Linked DNA regions of Danio rerio. The protein of the gene in region 4 interacts with the protein of the main gene of each other region in a biochemical or structural test. Links are inferred from orthologs where the notes say so. Each region holds a gene or a part of one and is shown on either strand. Other genes may lie near its edges. The genes, in order: dtl, rbx1, si:ch211-202a12.4, cul4b and ambra1a.

Region 1 (4,227 bases), on a different chromosome or scaffold from region 4:
TTTGAAGTGTGACCCGGTTGTAAAGCAGGTCACGTGACGCACAACGCCAGTTTCGTCGTCGGGTTTCCGTTGCGCTACAAGGAACGCTAGAAGCGAAAGCGACCCAAAGAGGTGACCAAAGAAGGCGGGGCTTATGAGTCGGCATTTACCCTGATTAGTCTAAACCTCTGCTCAGCTTTTAGGCTCTTCATGCTATCATAATTTTTATTTAATCATTTGCAAAATTATATATATATATATATATATATATATATATATATATATATATATATATATATATATATATATATATATATATATATATATATATATATATATATATATATATATATATATATATATATATATATATATATATATATATATATATATATATATATTATTGCTTGCTATCAGAACAAAATCCAAAGGATCCCAGAGATCACTTTAAAATGATCAATAGTATACACAGTCATAAAAATTATCACAAACACATACAAATAACATATCATTAGACTGAAAGGGAAAATATTAATAATTATAATATTAATAATAATAAAATTATGATAATAACAAAATTACTAAATTAAACAAACTAAATTAAACAAATGAATGAAATTACAATGACACTTAAACAAATAACCAAAAGGAAAGCAACTAAACTTAAGCATCTCCTACATCTGTATAATATTTCAGGAATTTTAGGGTTTTTTATTCTTAATAAGATTAAGTTTTTGTGTTTCTGTGGCGTTTACATGTTCTTCCAGTGTTTGCGTGGGTTAAAAAAATATATGCTGTAGGTGAACTGGGTAGGCTAAATTTTGTGTGTGTGTGTGTGTGTGTGTGTGTGTGTGTGTGTGTGTGTGTGTGTGTGTGTGTGTGTGTGTGTGTGTTTGTGTGTGTGTGTGAATGAGTGTGTATGGATGTTTACCACTTATGGGTTGCAGCTGGAAGGGCATCCGCTGCGTAAAACCATATTCCGCAGTGGCAACTCCAAAACAATAAAGGTACTAAGCCAAAAAGGAAATAAATGAAATAATGAATATATATATATATATATATATATATATATATATATATATATATATATATATATATATATATATATATATATATATATATATATATATATATATATATATATTGTTAATGTTAATGTTAACCCGGATTTTTTTGGGGCCACATGGCGCCTCTAGTGTTCGCAGCCATTCCACTCCGCTCGCAGTGGCTTAACACTTCCTGTTTCCTGACGTGTCGACCAATTAGAACACTGTTCGTCCATCTCGCGGGGAATTCGTCTTCAGCGCTTTTTCATTGTTCGCGGGAAACTTACCACTTCTGAACGCGACTTGCATCCTGCAGCGATGACTCTTTTTCACCATGTTGTTGATCGAGGGGCTAAAAAAAGAGGACGAAATGGTGAGTTTGCTGAATATACGTTAACCTAAACCAGCGTTATTACACTATTTACACTGAAATACTTTGTAATAATCAGGTGAGCAGCGGCTGTTTCCTCTGTCGTCTCTGCTGGACGGCTATGAATGCGCTCGGCGGGATGAACACATCTCTTATGGAGCCTCCGCTGCTGCCGTGCCGCCATTCGGATGCACATTTTCCTCCGGTAAACATTTATTTCTGCATTCACAATGAGTTCGAAGTCAGTAGTACAGAATTGTGCAAAGACATTATGTTTGTGCTGGTTTGTTTTCTATGTTTAGCTCATGGACAACAAAACTGTCTTGCTGTAGCCAACGAAGAAGGGTTTGTGACCATCTTCAACACTGGAGAAAAACAAAGCTCTGTTCTGAAAGGTTGGCTTCAAGTTTACCTGGAAATATTTTAAAGGTTTAAACTAGTTCGCTTTTGGAAAACCCTATTTCCTATTGGCGTCAAATATAAAATGGGTTGACCGAAATCTCAACAAAAAGTGCAATAAAGCTTTGTGTTTCCCCTGTTAGGAAAATAAAATAGAAAAACATTTTTTTTTGTCATACTGTCATAATTTTTTAAAATCTTGTTTCGGAAATGTCATTCATTGTAACCACACCAAAAAAGTTAATAACTATTTCTTAGCCACATATTTTAAACAATGTGTCAAAAATGGGAATAAATCTAGAATTTAAGTGTTTTACAAATGTTAATAAATATATAATATGCAAAAATCAAAGTGTTATGCAAACAAAAATGGCAGTATGGAAAATGTGCAGGTATTTTATTGCAAATCAAAATGTGGCTGACCTGCCAAACCGACAGCAAACTGGGCAACACATCACTTGTTTTTTTTGTACCCACATAAATGTAGGTTTCCAAGAGGTTAGAAACATGTTTTCGTTTAGCCTCATAATTTGATGTTGCTATCTTGTTACCAGGTTATGGAAAAAAAGTATGTGCTCAGAACGTCTAATCACTTAAAAGGAACATGTAACATGGTGTTTATGACATCACAGAAGAGGTAACATTAAAAGGCTTAAAAGCAGAAACTTGATTCTTAGGCTGCCTTTGCATGCAATTGACAAATGGTCTCAGCCAAATTAAACCTTAGTGACATGAAAGCCCGATCGGGCAAGTTATGATCCTGTCTACTGTTCTGAATGTCTCTTATACTGACCAGGGCCATCTGGCAGTCCTTATTGTTAAGCCCTGAAATATTTATTTTTGGTAAAGTTGATTTTTCTATTCAGAGTTTATCCTGCTTAACCTAAATTCAAAATAAAAATTATTTGCAATCAATTCTAAATAAGGAAATGATATTAGCAGCCAATGAGCCAATTTTGAGTTCTTAAGTCTGAATTGGGAGATATTGCCTCACAATATTCACAAATAAAGTTAGAATTCTGAGAAAATGTTGCAATTACCTTTTTTAAAAATATTTTTTTATCAGTAGCAGGAACATGCTTCCTCAGATTTCAGATGATCACTTTTTTTTTTAAATTAATGGTTGCATTTTAGCTGACTACAGTTGTACAGCACACATCACTTGCATCACATTATATATTCAAATGAATTTTTTTATTCAATCATATCTTTAAATATATGATTAACATTCTGATTGAAAGTGCTAATTTGTAGACAGTTCCTTACATAAATGATGACGTTACAACCTTCCATAGCTATTGACCTTATTCTAAAATGCGGAAGTGCGCCTGTTTTCACGATTGTCTTAGAACTTTCGATTCAGTCGCCTATGGGAGAAATGACTAGGAATAATAAACGGCAGAAAACGGTCAAACTACTTGCTCTAAAAACAAATGTTTGCATGACTATACAGACCAAGTAGAATAATATAATAAGAAAATATCAAATTGCAACATCAAGCAGCGTAATAAGCAGTTTTTAACGTCAAAAAATGAATGGAAGTGAATGAGACCAGAAGTTTCAAGCCAAAAATATTCAAATGGCAGCGCCCGCTCATCGACGGAGAATAAGTTGAATAAGCGTATTTAAGTTGTACAGTTACATACGTATAATGCATTGTTCATAATAGTACATCATGATAATCCATATTAGCCCTTTTAAATTCTGTCAGATTGTGTGAATATAAAAGAAAGGTTAAGTAGGATAACGTTTTCTATTCTCTGAATAGAATAAGAGCAGAATAAGTATGTTTAATTTTTACACTCACACATATCTATATCTGTTTATGCATGCTGAATGAAGACGGAACATTATTTCACCTATATTTGACAATAATAATAATAATAATAATACATTATATTGCGCTTTTTTCAGCCCCAAAGCGCTAACAGGCATACAAGGCAAACAAAGCAGAACAATAAAAACAGTCAAAAAATAAAATAAAAAGACTGCAATAAAATATGAATGGCTCACTACAATAGGATTATAAAATAACAAAAATAATCTAGGTTAAAAGCAACGGTAAAAAGGTGACTCTTAAGAAGTTTCTTAAAACAATCCAGTGAAACGGCAATATCACAAGGTTATTTTAAATATTATAGTAGAAACTTCTTTTTGCATTGACAGTGATTTATACATGCACAAAATCACTTTTGTTAATTAAATTTTGGTGTTTCATTGATGTAAAACGTGTGTTTTCCAGAATGGCAGGCACATGATAATGCAGTTTTTGATATTGCCTGGGTTCCTGGAACCAATTGCTTAGTAAGTGTTGAATGATTTTTTTGTTTATAGACTTTTTCAGTGTGTAAGACATTTTGTTTTCTGTAGATTTATAAGTGTTGTCTTAAATGGGAATTGTCATTTGCAGGTAACTGCATCCGGTGACCAAAC
Region 2 (4,321 bases), on a different chromosome or scaffold from region 4:
AGCAAAACTGTGCAGAGCTGCGGCTCTCCAGGAATTGAGTTTGAGACCTATCCCTTACACGAAGCTTGTGAATTTGACTTGATTTGAATGAAGAATCAAAAAGACTTACTTCTGAAACTCCCACTCTCTGTTGTCCAGTGGACACACTTGTCTGGTCTTCAGCCAGCGGGAGATGCAGTGGAAATGAAAAGCGTGCTGCAGACACACACAAAAACAAACACACCAGCATTACACCAGCACCAAACAAACCCAGAGCTCAAAGTGTGTGTGATTATACTCACATTGCAGACTCCCCAGGCCACCGTACACTCCTCTGAGGTGGCAGACGCCTGATTGGCCTGACACTCAATACCTGAAGCAAACACAAGAGTTACAGATCAGCTACAGCTCATCTAGACCAGTGGTTCCCACAGTGGGGGTTAAACTTTGACACCTTTACAGCTTTCACATACATTAAAAATAATACAGGCTACAACAGAACATGGAGCAAGCTCTCACAGTGGCAATCTCTAAAATTAAACAATGAATAGATTTGGGCCTACTGGTATGTGTGCAAGGTTTAAATATTCATCACCACCTTAGAGAATATTGGGGGGTCGTGAGTAGGCATGGGCCAGTATAAGATTCTGACGGTATGATTACCTCGGAAATAAATTTCACAGTATCACAGTATTGAGTACCTCACAGTATTGAGTATTTCACAGTATCACAGTATTGAGATAACTGCTCTAAAATATAATCTTTTTAAATATCTGGGTACAAAACAAAACCCTTTTCCCCTTTGTACACACTATATGTAAATTTGGGAAACATATAAAATGTTTTGGAGAAGTAAACATGTCAGGCTAAATAATTCTAATGAATTATTGACTTCTGCTGTCTTCATTTGTTTTAAAAAAATCTGATTATTTTTACAATTTAAAAATGGCATCTTTGGATATCTTTTCTGGAGATACTACTGTCCTAAAAATAAAAAGTAAAAAAAAGATCGAACTCATACCTTAGGAACGGTATAGGAGAAAATTTTGAAGGCTTTAAAACCTTGACCTTTCCAAACCTTGATATACATTGAACACGGTTTTCATCCCACGGCTAGGCGCGAGTCACTGGCATTGTTATTTTGGGGGTCGTGGGCTGAAAACACCTGATCTAGACTAAACCTAAAAGACTAAAGCAGCTGTTATACTTACAGAGGTCCATAATGTGATTTCTGCAGATGGCACAGTTGTCCACTACAATGTCCCATGCCCACAGAGCCACAGCGTTCCACTGCAAGACAAGCAGAGTTTATAATCATAATCTTTATTAAAAATGCTAACAGCACCTTTTCTCTTAATGACACATGTACAGACACAAACTAAGCCTAAATATCCTCCACCAATGAGCAGCGCTTCCACTCAGTTATACATCATAATGAGGAAGAAAAGAAGCCAGCAGCCATAACATTTGTAAAGGAACATAGTGAAAATAAGTTGTGAAAACAGTATGCGAGTACAGTATGAAAACTTATTTTAAAAACATTTTTTAAAAAGTATATCTAAATTCAAACCGTTCACGGTGATCGTTTTGAATCCAGATTACAAATTGGTAATCTGGAAACCAACTACAATATTCCACAAAAAATATACATTCAGAAAGGGTTTATGATGCCTGAAACTGTTGGAATTGAACATTGAGAATGAGCTTGCAACGCCTCACACTGTTGGAAACAAATATTTGAAACAAGTTTGCAATACTAGAAACTGTTAAAAATCAAGCATTTGGAGGGTGTTTTCAATGGCTGACATTGTTGAAATCAATATGAAAATGAAATGGAGTAACATTAGGTATAATATCTGTCTATAACACAGGTGTCAAACTCCAAAAGGGTCAAGTTCCAAAAGGGCCGCAGCTCTGCACAGTTTAGTTCCAACCCTAATTAAACACACCTGATCAAACTAATAGAGTCCTTCAGGCTTGTTTGAAACCTACAGGTAAGTGTGTTGGAGCAGGGTTGGAACTAAACTGTGCAGGGCTGCGGCCCTCCAGGAATTGAGTTTGACACCCCTGGTCTATAACATTCAAACATGTCCGTACCTAGCTTTTAAAAAGGATGCACACAAGTCAAAATTTACTTAAGTAATAAGTATAACATAATTTATTGTACATTGTATACACTTATAGAATGTTCAATTCCGTGTGTAATATGTGAAATTCACTAAAATGTTTGCATCGAACTTTGAGGGGGGTAAATGTGTTTAAATGGAATGTTCGGAATGTCACTATGGTGACTAAAAGTGATGGAAACGAACGTTGGGAACATGTAAATGACGTCTACCGATAATCGAATAGAGCGTTCGGAATGCGTCTATGAACCTCAAACGGTTAGAATCGAATGTGCTGTAAGCGGCTGCAGTGTCCACAAATCTTGCCTAAAAAACTCGCCAAGGTCTGGGAATGATCAGCGCTGTATTTCGTTCTTTAGTGGCCTACTTCAATAATCTCTGGGATTACGCTGCAGAATTTATCGGAGTTCAAATAAGAAGCACATTGGGCGAGCATGTAACATATTTTTGCTTGACATTAGCTTGTACTCATTTTTGTGACACTTTATGAGGTTTTTGTAAACATGAAAAGCATAGAGGCCGGTGATTAAAATGATGATGTGAAAGAGCAGCGCGGCTAATGCTAACTGGGTTTAACACACCGCGGTGAAAGAGTGTTATTTTAATTTTAAAGAGACTAAACGGATGTGAACAAACAGTTGACAGCAATCATTAACGTGAACTTCACAATTACTTACCTTTTTCACTTCAAATCGCTTTTTACTGGCTCCGCTGTTAGCTCCACTTGGGGTGTCCACATCCATCGCGGCCGCCATGTTTGCTAATGTCTGATGATCTCGCGAGAAAGAGTGAGAGTGAACAGCTACTCGGTTTATAATCTTTTACATGTAAACGTGTGAATTAAAGCAATTGTGTATACTATGATGTTTTTAATATCATTCATATATTTTTTTTTATTCCAGTTTAATCAGACACAATCTAGTCCAAATTACAGTCGAGTTAAAAGATTAGGTTCCACCGAGATTTGAACTCGGATCGCTGGATTCAGAGTCCAGAGTGCTAACCATTACACCATGGAACCTGTTGGAAGCTAAGGCCCACTGTTTCCAGATTTGTACCATCTACAATACCCTACCACTATTATAAACTACATTGTCGGAATCCTGCATATTATATAATTATGACCGTGTTCAACATACATCAAATCAGTGCAGTGCAAGTGCAGAGCTTTGAAATGATACAGGAGATTACATGTTACCAGGATTTACAGATAACATTAAATGCCATCTATATATTTTTTTATTTCACATATTCATATTTGCTTTTTTTTGACAAGTTTTGCGAACAGCTACCATGTAGACTTATGTAAACTATACACAATTCGTAGTTTTTCCACTATTTTACACATTTGTTTACATATAAAGTGACGTTACTGGAATGCTCAACCGACTTAACATGTAATATCATACAGTTAAGTGCGTGACAAATATATATATATATATATATATATATATATATATATATATATATATATATATATATATATATATATATATATATATATATACATATACATATACATACTAACACACACACAAACACACACACACACAAAAGCATATAACGTTACACAAGTATTTTCAGAGGCCCCAAAACACTATTGTTGTGTGGATGCATTAAAATTGCACAAATTTTGATTCAACAAAGATTCAACCAAAGAATTACCTGTAAACAAATCTGCAGAGCTACTACCACATAGTAGCTAGCTAATAATTGTATTGTTTAAACAAAAAAACACACATGTACGACTACTTAATCCTAACAATATAGTCATCAATATGTATATATTTATCGTTATCTCTTAGTGTGGGCAAGCCAGCATAAGCAGTTAAAGCATTTAAAGACAATAGTTACTTAAGAAAAAATATGATCTACAGACTTCACACAGCCTCCATTTTAAAAGCGAAAGAGAGTCTGCAGTGGAAATAAACCTGGAAGTAACGCCTGGAGTCACACAGGAACGGCATCCAAGATGGCGTATTGTTGTGTACCTGGATTTATATCTTATCAGTGAACACAAATTTATAATTTCACCACTTTCCGAGTGACCCGAAGGTCCTTTCTGAATGCATGGTGAAAATAAAAAGGCATATCGGACCTTATTTTCCCCTAAGTTAAGGGAAATGGCACTAGTTAGCAAATGTTTTCTTTCCACCAGTGCTTAACAGAAATGACTGTGATTGGTCGTAAAGGTCATCAGTTCACTGCACTTCACC
Region 3 (4,035 bases), on a different chromosome or scaffold from region 4:
AAAAGCCCCCCTAGGAATAAATGAGTTTGAAAAATAAAACCGATGAACATTTTGGGAAATTATCCTTTGAGCAGGGAAGCTGCTTGGTGTCAATTATCATTTAATTATACTTTGGTGGGAAATTATCTTTTGAGCAGGAAAGCTGTGTGGTTTTCCACACTACACTCAATTCGAAAGGACTCATCCCTATGCGCTAATCTCTTTAGAGGAACCCTCTGAAGGGATTAGGGCATAGGAATGAGCCCTTCAGATTGGAATCCATCATGTATTTTTTTTTGTTGGTGGTTGAGAAAGTGCATTTCTGCCACCTATAGGACTGGAGTATGAAACTTGGTTGGGGGCTTAAAAAACTGTAACCACTTTTAAACCTAATTTTCCAGTCCGGAGACATTCAACAATCCAGATGACACCTTAATGATCTCTTTAATGTGGTAATTCTAATGTGTGATTAACACTTTACTCAGATTTCTTTCAGTTATTTTTCAGAATAATTCTATTTATTCTCTCTTGAATTATGTAATTTGTTATTAAGCATTTTTATGACAGTAACTTGTTTAATTTTTTACACAAACTTTTTTGCGCTGTATGACCAATGTATAATCTTGCAATTATCACATTTTTATTGTTTGCTCTGTTTTCCACGCAAATGTATCCTTATAAATGTTTTTTTTTTTGTTCTCCCATTCTTCTGCCTGCTCACTTTACTCAGCTGTACCCTGAAGTTAATATCAGGGTTCATTATTACCATACACAATCAGTTTCTTTTAAGCAACCAAAACATCCACTGGAACCCACGCAACTAACTATAATTCATATTTTATAATGCTGTATAATCTCTGGTCCTGTAATACGATGTATCTTTCCAGACTGTTCTATTTTTGTTTATACAGTATGTCAGTTCTTCTCTTTGCCTGGTCTTGTCTGAATCACCAATAGCAAAGCGAACAAACACTAAACCAGCCAATCACTGCCTGCAGGTTGTCCTACAAGTCCAGCCCATTCCAGCACATTGTGGAAACTTCCTTTATGGGTAATTTATGATTAAATTATACGTTTCAAATATTGATACATAACTTGTATTTATTTTTAAAAAATCAAATAATTCCATAGTTTTAACATTTATTTTAATTTTTCAAACGAAAAAAAGGTTTTGACTACTAAAAGACCCGCTCACGTGACATGAGAACGTCACGCTGTTGGGTTTGTATAAAAACAGTTTCACTCGCTTCATCGGCTGATTTTTCTGCGAAGAAGAGAAGAACTTATTCACTTTCAGAAGCAGTTTCAGCGATATTTATAAGGTAAGAAAGCTATTCCAGTTCGATTTAGAACCTTCATAAAGACCTTTAGGTATACTATTATTGATATTTCGTCATTCCTGTTTATTGTATTGATTTTGGCGCTCATATCCTCGACATCCTAACTAAATGTAAAGAAGTAATTTTACAGTCCTTAATGCTTTGACTAGAGTAATACTCATACGATGTTATTTTCCCAAATTGATACGTTTGCTTTTTAATTGTTAAATTGTTCAATGTCGCAGTTTGTCAGATTAAATTATGCTGAGTCATGGCGCTGTATGAACAAAGAACCCGGATATTACTGTACAGCGGCCATGTTTGTTGTTGCGCATTACCGTTTTTAAATGATGACATTGTGCAATTTTTTAATTATGTAACTTATTGTTTTATGTAATTTAGGAGGTAATGTTAACATAAATAACTATTTCGATATAGTGTATGAATGAAATTACAAGTTCATAACTCAACTTTTATTATATTTCTAAAAAACAAACATTTTTAATATGTAGGACCAGACGGAATCTGCGGGCGTTTTTTGCTATTTTTGCGTAGAATTTTGCTAAAAATCTGCGGATTTCTGCGGAATTATTTTGGGAGTATCATAACTAAAACCTTAATATATGAATTTAAAAATAATATCTTTTAAACTTTCATTTAATGTTTAAAATGCAAATCCAATTAGATTCACTTTATTTGGTAAACAAAGCAAGTCTAATATAATGTATCTACTAAAAGACAAAGAATCACTGTACAAACTGCATCGTATATAAATCAGATGAACATTTTCATACAAGTCAATAATATTACTGTTATTAAAAAGTAAATAAATATAGATTTACCCACATTTACTCTAGTAAATAAATAGAATTAATCATGGACTTAAATTTGCGGAATTTTGAGTGCACAGATATAGATAGATAGATAGATAGATAGATAGATAGATAGATAGATAGATATAACCCCCGTTTCAATTTTAACTATTTTCTGTAAAGCTGATTCTGGGTTAATGTAGAGTAGCTTTTACAAGGCATGCATGTCCACGTAATGATTTCTATTACCTAGGAGACACCCTTAAGTTATTGTCTCAGGTAAGAGGAAATCACCCCTACAGGGTTGTGCTCTATAGAAAAACTTAAGCTTGAAGCATCTGGATTGATATTGGCATAAAATAAAGATTTTAATAATTTGCTAATATGCTAATAATAATTTGTCACAATGTGACAATGTCCTTGTTCAAACTGTTAGGGTAACTAACATTTACTCTATTCTTCCAGTTAAACAGGCACTTTCATGTAATTTGATAAATTAACATGTTGTAAATCCAGCATCCCTCCACTAACATGGTGGCACCCATGATCATTATTAATCTGTGAAATGGAAATGGATGCGTTTGTATCATAATATTCATTTATCAGAATATGATATTTTCTAATATATTTAGGATGTTAACCAATGTTTGCATAAAATGACAAAATAAGTGAGAAAATTATATACATAAATCTTCAGGGCTGCAATGTCACATGATAAACTTGATGCATCGTCATGGAAGTCTCAAAGTGAGAAGTTTTAAATTATCGTCAGATTAATAAAACATTTAGTGGGGGTCAGAGAAAGATTTAGAACTTGTGTTTGTGAAAGGATGAGCTAAAATCATTCTGTATTGTAATAGATGTGCTAACACATTAGCCCTGCCCTGAATTAAGCCTATGCTCTCAGATTGACAGATACTATATGTGGTAGGAGGGTTGCACGGTTTACCGGTACTATGGTAGCATCACGATACTGTGGCTTCAAAATACTGGCAGTGCCACTGTAGTTTGTAAACGGTAGTATCTTCATTACCGGTCTATCTATATTATGTAGTGTTGCTTGTGAAAGTGATTAATGCTCACACATATGTGCATCAATAGACCATTTTATTTGAATAGTCTGTGGAGCCCCTTAAGGTTGCATGTTTTTTAACATTTCAAACGCACACCTGAAGCGGTTCATTCTGTTTCTGGCAATGTGATTTAATAGCTACAGCAACCGCAGCAATCTCTTAAAAACAACTTAATGTCTTAAAAAAATATTTTTAATTACTTTGGATTGTTCCCTGATAAGGCTGAAAAAATAAAAAAATAAATGGAAAAACCCAAAATAGTAATATTTGAACAACTTTTGACCACTTATATTTTTCATCACTTTCATAATTTTTTTTTTAAAAATGCTCTTTTCGTAACAAATTCCATTTTGTTTATTTGTATCTTTATTCTAATGTATTTTTTGTTGATCAGTTATCTACAAAATAAACAAAGTATAAATAAATTTTAGGTGAAATAGTGTGCAAATAATACTTATTTCTTTAATTGAAATTAAATTCATTTAATCATCATTCATTTAATGAAACTCAAGTAGACCTATTATAACATATAAAATATAGTATTTATGACAATTTTCCTTATAATTTGAGTTATGAATTACAGTATGGCATTACTATATGGTATCGTGATACTTCAGCTGGTATAGTATTATAACGTGAATTAATGGTATCGCGACAACTCTAACATGTGGTGTTCCAAAAAGATTTCTTTTTGAAGATTTAAGGTAAAATCTTAGATCAGTCGTATAAATCTGTACAAATTTTAGTCATTGCTAATCTTCTTTTGATAATTTGTTTACAGATGCAGATCTTTGTCAAGACCCTTACTGGTAAGACCATCACCCTTGAGGTCGAGCCAAGTGACACCATTGA
Region 4 (3,756 bases):
TGTTTTTTGTGTCTCAGGCCTTTGGAAGCACAATTGTGATCAACCCTGAGAAAGACAAGACGATGGTTCAGGAGCTTCTGGATTTCAAGGATAAAGTCGACCACATAATTGATGTATGTTTCATGAAGAATGAAAAGTTTGTAAATGGCATGAAGGAAGCCTTCGAGACGTTTATCAACAAACGGCCAAACAAACCTGCAGAGCTCATAGGTGAGTACATGAACTGTTTTTCATTGCAAAAAATCACCCCTCACAAAGCACTGCCTTTTCTTCGTTAATATTGCTATATCCGACAAGCTTTCAGTGTCAGCCATGGAAATTATTGTAAATTTGTGCACTCCAATTCTGGTAAAATTACGTAATGGTTTCAGAGAGGAGCAATGAAAATGCCTGCAATACACATTTGGGGGATATATTTAGGATGTGAAAAGCGTTTCTGCAGTGTATCAAAGTCTTAAATTTCTAAAACTAAATTTTAGCCCTTAAAATGTCTAAAACTCACTGAGATAGTGTTGTAGTATTTCAATTCTTTTATACAGATCCTGGATTAACATCTTTGTTGATCCTGAAACATAATTTTTGTTCGCAATTGTATTCCATACCTTGTAATTCCCTACCCTAAACCCAACCATAACTGTAAATTATTCCCAAAATCATAGCCGAAAATAGTTGTATAACAATCATGTAGAAGTGTATAAACTGTAAGCCTAAACTTAACATTAACGTTAAACATATTCCTCATTCTTGATTGGCTGATTGGAATGTTGTTCCAGGATCAATATAGATGTTAATACAGGAACATATCCTACTTGGTCAAATCAGGTTGGCGCCTATTCAGTCACCATCAATCCATCATAATAAAATTTACTAATAATATAGTTTCATTATCTTCCCTACTGTAACATTGGTTTAAAAGTTCTCCATGTATTTATAGCTACCTGGTGAAGACACTGATCTTTATTATAGTTTTTAAAACTTTTCAGTTTATTTTTTTTTTAAATAAACATTGTTAGAAAAAGTGTATGTATACAAGTTTGCTTGATTTGACACATTATTTAAACTTTTTTTTATTAGGCCATTAGAAAAAAGGGGCCTGTTTAATTCTGACATTTTCTTCATATTGGTCTTAAAGTCTTAAATTTGACTTGATGAGTCATGCAGAAACGCTGTGTGAATTGAAGCTATAGCCTACAGTCAGTATTAATTGGAAGTTTGGATCATTTGACTAACTCGGACCTTTGACTCTCAATCAGCACAATTGATAATTTAGTTAATTTCTGCAAAATACAGTTCAAATGTTTCTCATTGATTCCTCAACACATCATTCACGAACACACAAATGCTGGCATCTCGAAAAAGACAAGGCTTCCCGGTTTTTTTAAGTTGTTTGTTCAGCATGTGACCGCATAATAAACCAAACATTAACCTTAATTTATTGTGAAGTCATCAACACAAGTGCATCCTTTACACACACTTCTCCAGGTTTTGGGCAGGTTTGGGGAATGAATGAAGTTGTTACTTGCCCACACTTTGTGTATGTACCTGCTGTCTGTGTTGCAAATCCCATACGAGCACCTTTTCACCATTTATCGCGTTAATTGCTAATATTAACATTCTACACCTGGTTTGTTGGAGTGTTTTGCTTGTCAAACAAAATAGTAAACAGTCACAGGGGGGACGAAATATCGGCATTATGATTTACCAAATCGTCTGTCAGTCAAACAGCCAGCGAAGGGTGAAATTGAGGATTTTTTCTTGAGGGCTTCAAGATGCTTTAATTATTGGAATTACTGATATTCCTAAATGTTGTGATTTTTATGTTCTGCAGCAAAATATGTGGATTCAAAGCTCCGTGCTGGGAACAAAGAGGCAACTGATGAGGAGCTGGAGAAAATGTTGGACAAGATAATGATCATATTCAGGTTCATTTACGGTAATGCTTTTAAACTTAATGCTCTGTTCCTGAGGCCTTGGAGAGTTTTACATTTTTAAACAGCTAAGCTTCATAGACTTTTTCATTTCTTTTTTTTTTTTTTTAAAGGCAAAGATGTTTTTGAAGCCTTCTACAAGAAAGACTTAGCGAAGAGGTTACTGGTGGGAAAGAGTGCCTCTGTAGATGCAGAGAAATCAATGCTGTCAAAACTGAAGCATGGTAAATTACATTTCTCCTTTTATGTTTGATTCCAAACCCTCGCAAATCTTTCTGTAGACTGTAAACTAAAAATGGCAAATTGTGTTTCTTTTTTTGTAGAATGTGGAGCAGCATTTACTAGTAAACTGGAGGGAATGTTCAAAGACATGGAGCTGTCGAAAGATATTATGGTGCAGTTCAAACAGGTAAGGGAGCTTTTATTTTCTTTCTATTATTCATGTTCTTTGGTGTCTCGTTTTTATCTAGCAAATCTCTGTTTTCATTCTGTATTTCAGCATATGCAGTGCCAAAATATTCCTGGTAACATTGAGCTGACAGTGAACATCCTCACTATGGGCTATTGGCCAACATACGTCCCTATGGAAGTACATCTGCCAGCAGAGGTCAGTTCTGAGAAATATGTAGGGATGTAGCGATTCACCATGAGCCGGTTGAAAATCAATTAAAATATTTTATGATTCAAACCTGTAGAAATGTTGAACGAATTGTGATACATTTTTTCAATAGAGGGGGCGCTGTGCGGCGAGCAAGAGGTGGGGTGGCAGTAAAATGACAGCGGTGAAGTGCTGCAGACGAAAAAACTGTTTGCAAATACTGCAAAGACGTTTACTTGCACCAACAAAACAATGAATATGATGCACATAAACAGTCAGCACAGTGAAAAACTACTGTCACAGATGACTATACGCAAAAAGACTTATAAGTTAGATGATTTGCAGCGCTGTTTCCTCCGACGAGTACATGGTGCATAGCGAAAGTATGAAGATGTTTTCAGACTGAAAGAGAAAGTTGTTCTGTTACAGAAGCAGGTATTAGATTATTATACCCTCTCCTTTTCAAATAAGTTTATACATATTTTAATAATTTGCATATTATTATTGAATATTTAAAAAAAACCCTCAAGATTATCACTTAAGTGTATTACACTGATATTTATACTAATTAATTATACAAATAAAATTAATTATTACTTTCATAATCATCTTCAACTCCTCTCTCCATCCTGCTATACAATTAGTAATTTTATAATCAGTATTTTTTGCCAGTGGCCAGTCCCCTGGAGAAGACCATCTCTGTACATACGGCTCTCTGGTTTAGGAAAGGCATACCGCTCCACACTGGCCATCTCAGTCCCCAATGAAAGAGTTCTTTCATCAGCAGGGGACATTGTAAATGTGCAAAGACCTCAGCTTATTCCAGAAAACAGAGATATGCTGATATATTTTTTTAAAATGTTAAATCCCAGCACAGTCACAGTTTTAGCTTGTTTATATTAAAGAGTCTTCTTTCGTTTGTATTATTATTATTATTATTTTGGGGAATTAGTTTTTTAAATAGCAGTTTAGTTATGACTAAAAATGTATTATTTTGTAAAAAATATGCAGCATTTAAGAAAGAAAAATGAAAGACTCTTCATCTTAAATTTGTTCCAAATAATTGTATTACAAAATCGTGACTAAACCATATAACAACATTACTATCGTGTATCAAAACGTGAGTCAGGTGAATTGTTACATTCCTAGAAATATGAGCTTTTTCATTGTTATTAAATTTGACAGAAGTACCCTTAATTTTTAAGGGTACTGCTAATAATTAAGTGTGTC
Region 5 (4,429 bases), on a different chromosome or scaffold from region 4:
TGTTATGGATGTGACAGATGTGAAATTGACACATTTGTGACTTTGGTAATCAAATAGAATGGCTTGAAAACACTGACAGATACGTTTTTGAGTATTTTTAGAGTACAGTAAAATACAAGCCTAAGCAAAAAAATAAAAAATAAAAAATCTAGAAAGGGTTTCGCTATTTTCGTGAAACATGGTTGACATTTGCATGGAATTGCTCCATAAATTACCTTGCAGACACTTTTTCTATCTTTATCCATTAACGTTACAAATGGATTCAGTACAAGTTAGCCCTTGGTTTACCAATTCGTTCATATGACAGACATTCTGTAATAGGCTTGCAGTTGCATTACTAATTTCAGAGATCTTTCTCACCTAAAAGCCAAGCAATAATGTTACCCTTACTAAAAAAAATAGGTGACATTTAACCTACAAAGGTGTTTTATTGCTTTGACGAAAATGGGAGGTGAAATGAAGCAAAACAACATGTCATGTGACGGTCTGCTCTTCAGATTGCTCAATCTGTACTTTAATGAGGAATTAATAAAGATCAAGTCGAAAACTACATTTTACCGAAATTACAGAAAATGCGAAAATCTGTAGAAAGCAAAACATTCGAGAGAGAAACACGAATTTAGACATCAACTAACAGGTAATTACAGAAAGGCACACAGCTGAATAACAGAAATATGACACCCCTAAAGAAACACACGAGGCACATAATAAAAGGTCTGACTGAGACTTCGCGTTGTCAATGTTTTTAAAACGAAAGGTTTTGTAAATAGCTTCAGGCCCCGGTTATTCAGTTACTGTCTGTTACATACTTAACGTTTGTTTTTTTAAAGGACAGATGTATTATTAAACTCACCACAGTGACAAACTTTAGCGTCCTCTCTCCACTGGAAAGACTGAAAGCAAAGAGAAAGGCAACAATCACAAAACAGGAATCCATACTTGCGGACGAGCGGATGAGGCACAGTACAGTAACCTCATTGAAAGATCGTTGCCTGGCTGTCGTGGCTGATAAACACAAGACGAGCTGCAAGCTTTTCCGGGTAACGGAGAGCTGCCATTGGTCAATGTGTTCAGCAGCTTCAAAAACACGAGCAGTGATTGGCTCTCACGAACGGAGAAGGACTTGGAGCAAAACAGCAAACAATAGTTGATTGTTTTCTCTTTGTTTAAGGTGCATGACTTCTCCGTCATTTGAAAAAAAAATTCTGAATGAAAATCCCCTCTTTTGTTATTCAATTGGTATATATGTTTGACTTAGTTTATGTGTAATCTAACATTTAGCAAGACTGAATATGTGAATAAAAATTATTTGATCACTTAACTGCCCATGATCAAATATAAATATAGGACAACGGAATGTGAATGTAAATATAACTTGGCTGTTTAGCACAAGATTTCATCTTGACTGGTTCATCTGTGTTTTTTTTTTTGACAGATCAACCTGATTGGCTGGCTCATGAACGATGTTTTCGGTAATTGATTATGAAGGATCTGTGCTCTACTGGCTTTGTCTGGACTCGTTTTGGCAGGACACACACAGCAACAAATCTAAAGTACACACGACCCACTTTTGGGGGAAAATAAAAACATTACAAAAATATTCCTTAAAGAAAATCTGAAATATTGCTAAAGTTTCACCTAACGTACTTCCGCTACTACATATCTACAATTTCATGGATTAAAATCGGACAAAAATAAGAGGAAAAGGTAGGCCGAACCTGAGACCATGAGAGGTGTTGTTTTAAATTTATACTGAACAAAAGACTCCTAATTTAAACACTATGTAATTGTGTGGATTGATACTTTGCCTCGCATGTAAATTAGCTTGCTAACTGCTAAATGTTAAAGCTGTAAAGTTAATTTCTTTATTAAAAAGTAATTATTGTAATTTAACGTTAACGTTATAACCTTCACTAGTTGCTTTATTCTGTGACAATGAATTTACTGTAATGAGTGACACTCCTTTTATTGCAGGTTAAACTTAACTTATATATGTCTAACGTTAGCTGGAGTCAAACATGAGCTATCTTTGACCTGACGTGCTATAGTGTCACAAAACGTGTAAAGCTTTTCCACGTGTTTTAACCCTGTTATTTTGGTAATTGCATTCCTGTAAATAATAACTACGTATTTATAGTAGTCTTTGCATTTTTGATAGTTAAACTATGCATTGTTTACCCATGTAATAGTTTTTGTTTGTTTTATTTTTTAATTTATTAATTTTTATTTACTGCTTAATTCTTTATTAGTAGAACTGAAATGGAAATATGGTTAGCTTTTATTGTAGTTAGACTCGTCATTGTGTATTGTGTATTAGGTATTGAGGTCTCTGTTCAGTTAGATTGTTGTGTGAATATCTTTTAATGTTGTTACTATTTCAATTTTTTAAGTAAAGCATACACTTTAAAAGTATGATTGTGTTCAGTATTATGTTGTTTGAAGAAAAATACACAGTGTTCATTAACTAGAATTAAAAGTAAATTTCAAATGTATTCAATGTTACTTTTGCATAGCTAAAAAATAACAAAAAATAAATTACCATAGTTAACTTGACATACTTTAAGTTGACTTAAAGCCTGTGTGGAAAACCTTATGAAAGAAAAAGTAAACTTTTTGTTTAATTTATGTTTAATTAATGATTTTTTTCTCTGTCAAGGTGTTGGCTATGAAAGATGAAACCTTTATTTTTTTTAAATCTATAAATTAATAAATAAATACACAAATATATAATAAACGAGTAAATGTATATAAAAATCCACAAATTCCTGCATAACTCAATCAGGCAGGTACAAAATTTAATAAATTACACGAATGTTACGGGAATAAGAAAATGGTAAACTGAAAGCTCCACCCCCCGCCCCCTCCCAAATGTTTATTCATTCTTGATTGTAGTTATGTATTTACCTTTCCTCAGTAAACATGCTAATGAGACTGGTTCTGTCAATCATCAGAAAGTGGTCTTCATGCCATTATTGGTTGATCGTTAGAAAACATTTGCTTTTCATTAAAAAAAAAAAAAACTATAATTTTTTTTTACTGGCTTCTGATGATTGACTGCTCTATTAATTATTTATACATTTATTTATGCAGAAAGTTTATATATATACACATTTTTTTTGCTTATTTATTGTTTTATTTATGCATGAATTTATGGATTTATTTACTCATTTATTTGCGTATTTATTTATTGTTTTTGCGTCCTCCATAGTTGACTAATTCATCATAAGACAGGGTTTATACAGTCATGGAAAACCTGGAAAAGTCATGGAATTTTGACATGGCATTTTCCAGGCTTGGAAAAGTTATGAAGATTAGTTTAACAAATATCAGTATACTTAAATTAGGGCTGCGCGATATTGGAACAATCTGACATTACAATATTTTGTATTTCTGTGATATGTTGCGACGAGAATATAATTTCACCAGATGATTTAAAAGTTTTATTTTTGATTGATTGGGGTGGGGGGGGGGGGGGGGGGGGGGGTTGTTAGAGAGTGAATCCCGAATAATATATAACAAATAAATTACAAGCATAGATAAATAAAACATAGTCAAGATAAAAGTGAATTATAGTTTTCAGGTATTCACTATTTCGGTACAGATATTGAATAATTAACACTGCATAGTCTTCGTTCTATATTATTTAATCTTTAATTTAGTTACCAAAAAATTTCTTTTGGCCCGATTTTTAAAAAATTGAAATATTGAAATGTTTAACAGTCACAGGTCTTAAAGGGACAGTTTACTCAAAGATTAAAATGTACTTACTATTTACTCACACTTCAATTGTTTCAATACTATATGAGTTATTAGGTTATATTATTTTTGTCTTTATTTAAAAAAAAGAAAGCTCATAAATGTTTAAAACAAGTGAAGGGTGTAATAAAAATGGTAAGTAATTTTTGAGTGAACGATCTCTTTAAAATGCATACAGATGATAAACTTTTAGTTCATTTTGATTAAACTCTAAATTAAACTATAATCCCATCCCAATATTGCATATCCTGCGATGTGACTATTGTGAATGCACACATTACTTTATCAATGCTAAAACAATATATTGTGCAGCCCTAACTTGAATATAGGATAGTTGTTTTCTTTTCTGTCCTTGGCCAAAATATTGTTCTCACATTGTTAGTGCTGTGCAAGCTTTATCAAAAAAAATCAATAAAAAAACTAATTTAAACAAATTAGTTAGTTGCGTGTTCTATAATATGCTGTTATAAATTTGAACGTTATTGTTTTTCTTATTATTAATCATTTATTTTTAGATATTACATGAAATATTATGTCATGAAAATGTACTTGAAAGTTCTGGAAAAGTCATGAAATTTTAGTAGTAAAAATGCATATGAACCCTAATTAGATGGAAAAGTAGACCAATGCTGATTAATTTTTTCTCACTACTATTTCATGCCCTTTCTATTCA

The links.
Region 1: the proteins of cul4b (region 4) and dtl form a complex in vitro, tested with the Homo sapiens proteins (2 studies listed by BioGRID). The link is inferred for Danio rerio from reciprocal best matches to the Homo sapiens genes CUL4B and DTL.
Region 2: the proteins of cul4b (region 4) and rbx1 form a complex in vitro, tested with the Homo sapiens proteins (4 studies listed by BioGRID, with this or other methods). The link is inferred for Danio rerio from reciprocal best matches to the Homo sapiens genes CUL4B and RBX1.
Region 3: the proteins of cul4b (region 4) and si:ch211-202a12.4 form a complex in vitro, tested with the Homo sapiens proteins (2 studies listed by BioGRID). The link is inferred for Danio rerio from reciprocal best matches to the Homo sapiens genes CUL4B and UBC.
Region 5: the proteins of cul4b (region 4) and ambra1a form a complex in vitro, tested with the Homo sapiens proteins (2 studies listed by BioGRID, with this or other methods). The link is inferred for Danio rerio from reciprocal best matches to the Homo sapiens genes CUL4B and AMBRA1.

The regions. Positions count from the first base shown.
Region 1 is NC_133195.1:14,376,625-14,380,851, forward strand, and holds the start of dtl (denticleless protein homolog), read left to right. Parts: upstream 1-1,319; 5' UTR 1,320-1,343; coding exon 1,344-1,398; intron 1,399-1,474; coding exon 1,475-1,600; intron 1,601-1,697; coding exon 1,698-1,790; intron 1,791-4,036; coding exon 4,037-4,098; intron 4,099-4,204; coding exon 4,205-4,227. UniProt on the Homo sapiens protein: Substrate-specific adapter of a DCX (DDB1-CUL4-X-box) E3 ubiquitin-protein ligase complex required for cell cycle control, DNA damage response and translesion DNA synthesis.
Region 2 is NC_133178.1:23,848,458-23,852,778, forward strand, and holds the start of rbx1 (E3 ubiquitin-protein ligase RBX1), read right to left. Parts: upstream 2,896-4,321; 5' UTR 2,861-2,895; coding exon 2,783-2,860; intron 1,270-2,782; coding exon 1,191-1,269; intron 353-1,190; coding exon 282-352; intron 196-281; coding exon 110-195; intron 1-109. UniProt on the Homo sapiens protein: E3 ubiquitin ligase component of multiple cullin-RING-based E3 ubiquitin-protein ligase (CRLs) complexes which mediate the ubiquitination and subsequent proteasomal degradation of target proteins, including proteins involved in cell cycle progression, signal transduction, transcription and transcription-coupled nucleotide excision repair.
Region 3 is NC_133180.1:42,862,365-42,866,399, forward strand, and holds the start of si:ch211-202a12.4 (polyubiquitin-C), read left to right. Parts: upstream 1-1,235; 5' UTR 1,236-1,301; intron 1,302-3,964; coding exon 3,965-4,035.
Region 4 is NC_133189.1:38,074,820-38,078,575, forward strand, and holds part of cul4b (cullin-4B), read left to right. Parts: intron 1-17; coding exon 18-210; intron 211-1,828; coding exon 1,829-1,933; intron 1,934-2,041; coding exon 2,042-2,152; intron 2,153-2,251; coding exon 2,252-2,337; intron 2,338-2,427; coding exon 2,428-2,535; intron 2,536-3,756.
Region 5 is NC_133182.1:39,574,442-39,578,870, reverse strand, and holds the start of ambra1a (activating molecule in BECN1-regulated autophagy protein 1A), read left to right. Parts: upstream 1-1,503; 5' UTR 1,504-1,707; intron 1,708-4,429. Other genes in the region: acp2 (lysosomal acid phosphatase precursor), read right to left, coding at 854-937. UniProt on the Homo sapiens protein: Substrate-recognition component of a DCX (DDB1-CUL4-X-box) E3 ubiquitin-protein ligase complex involved in cell cycle control and autophagy.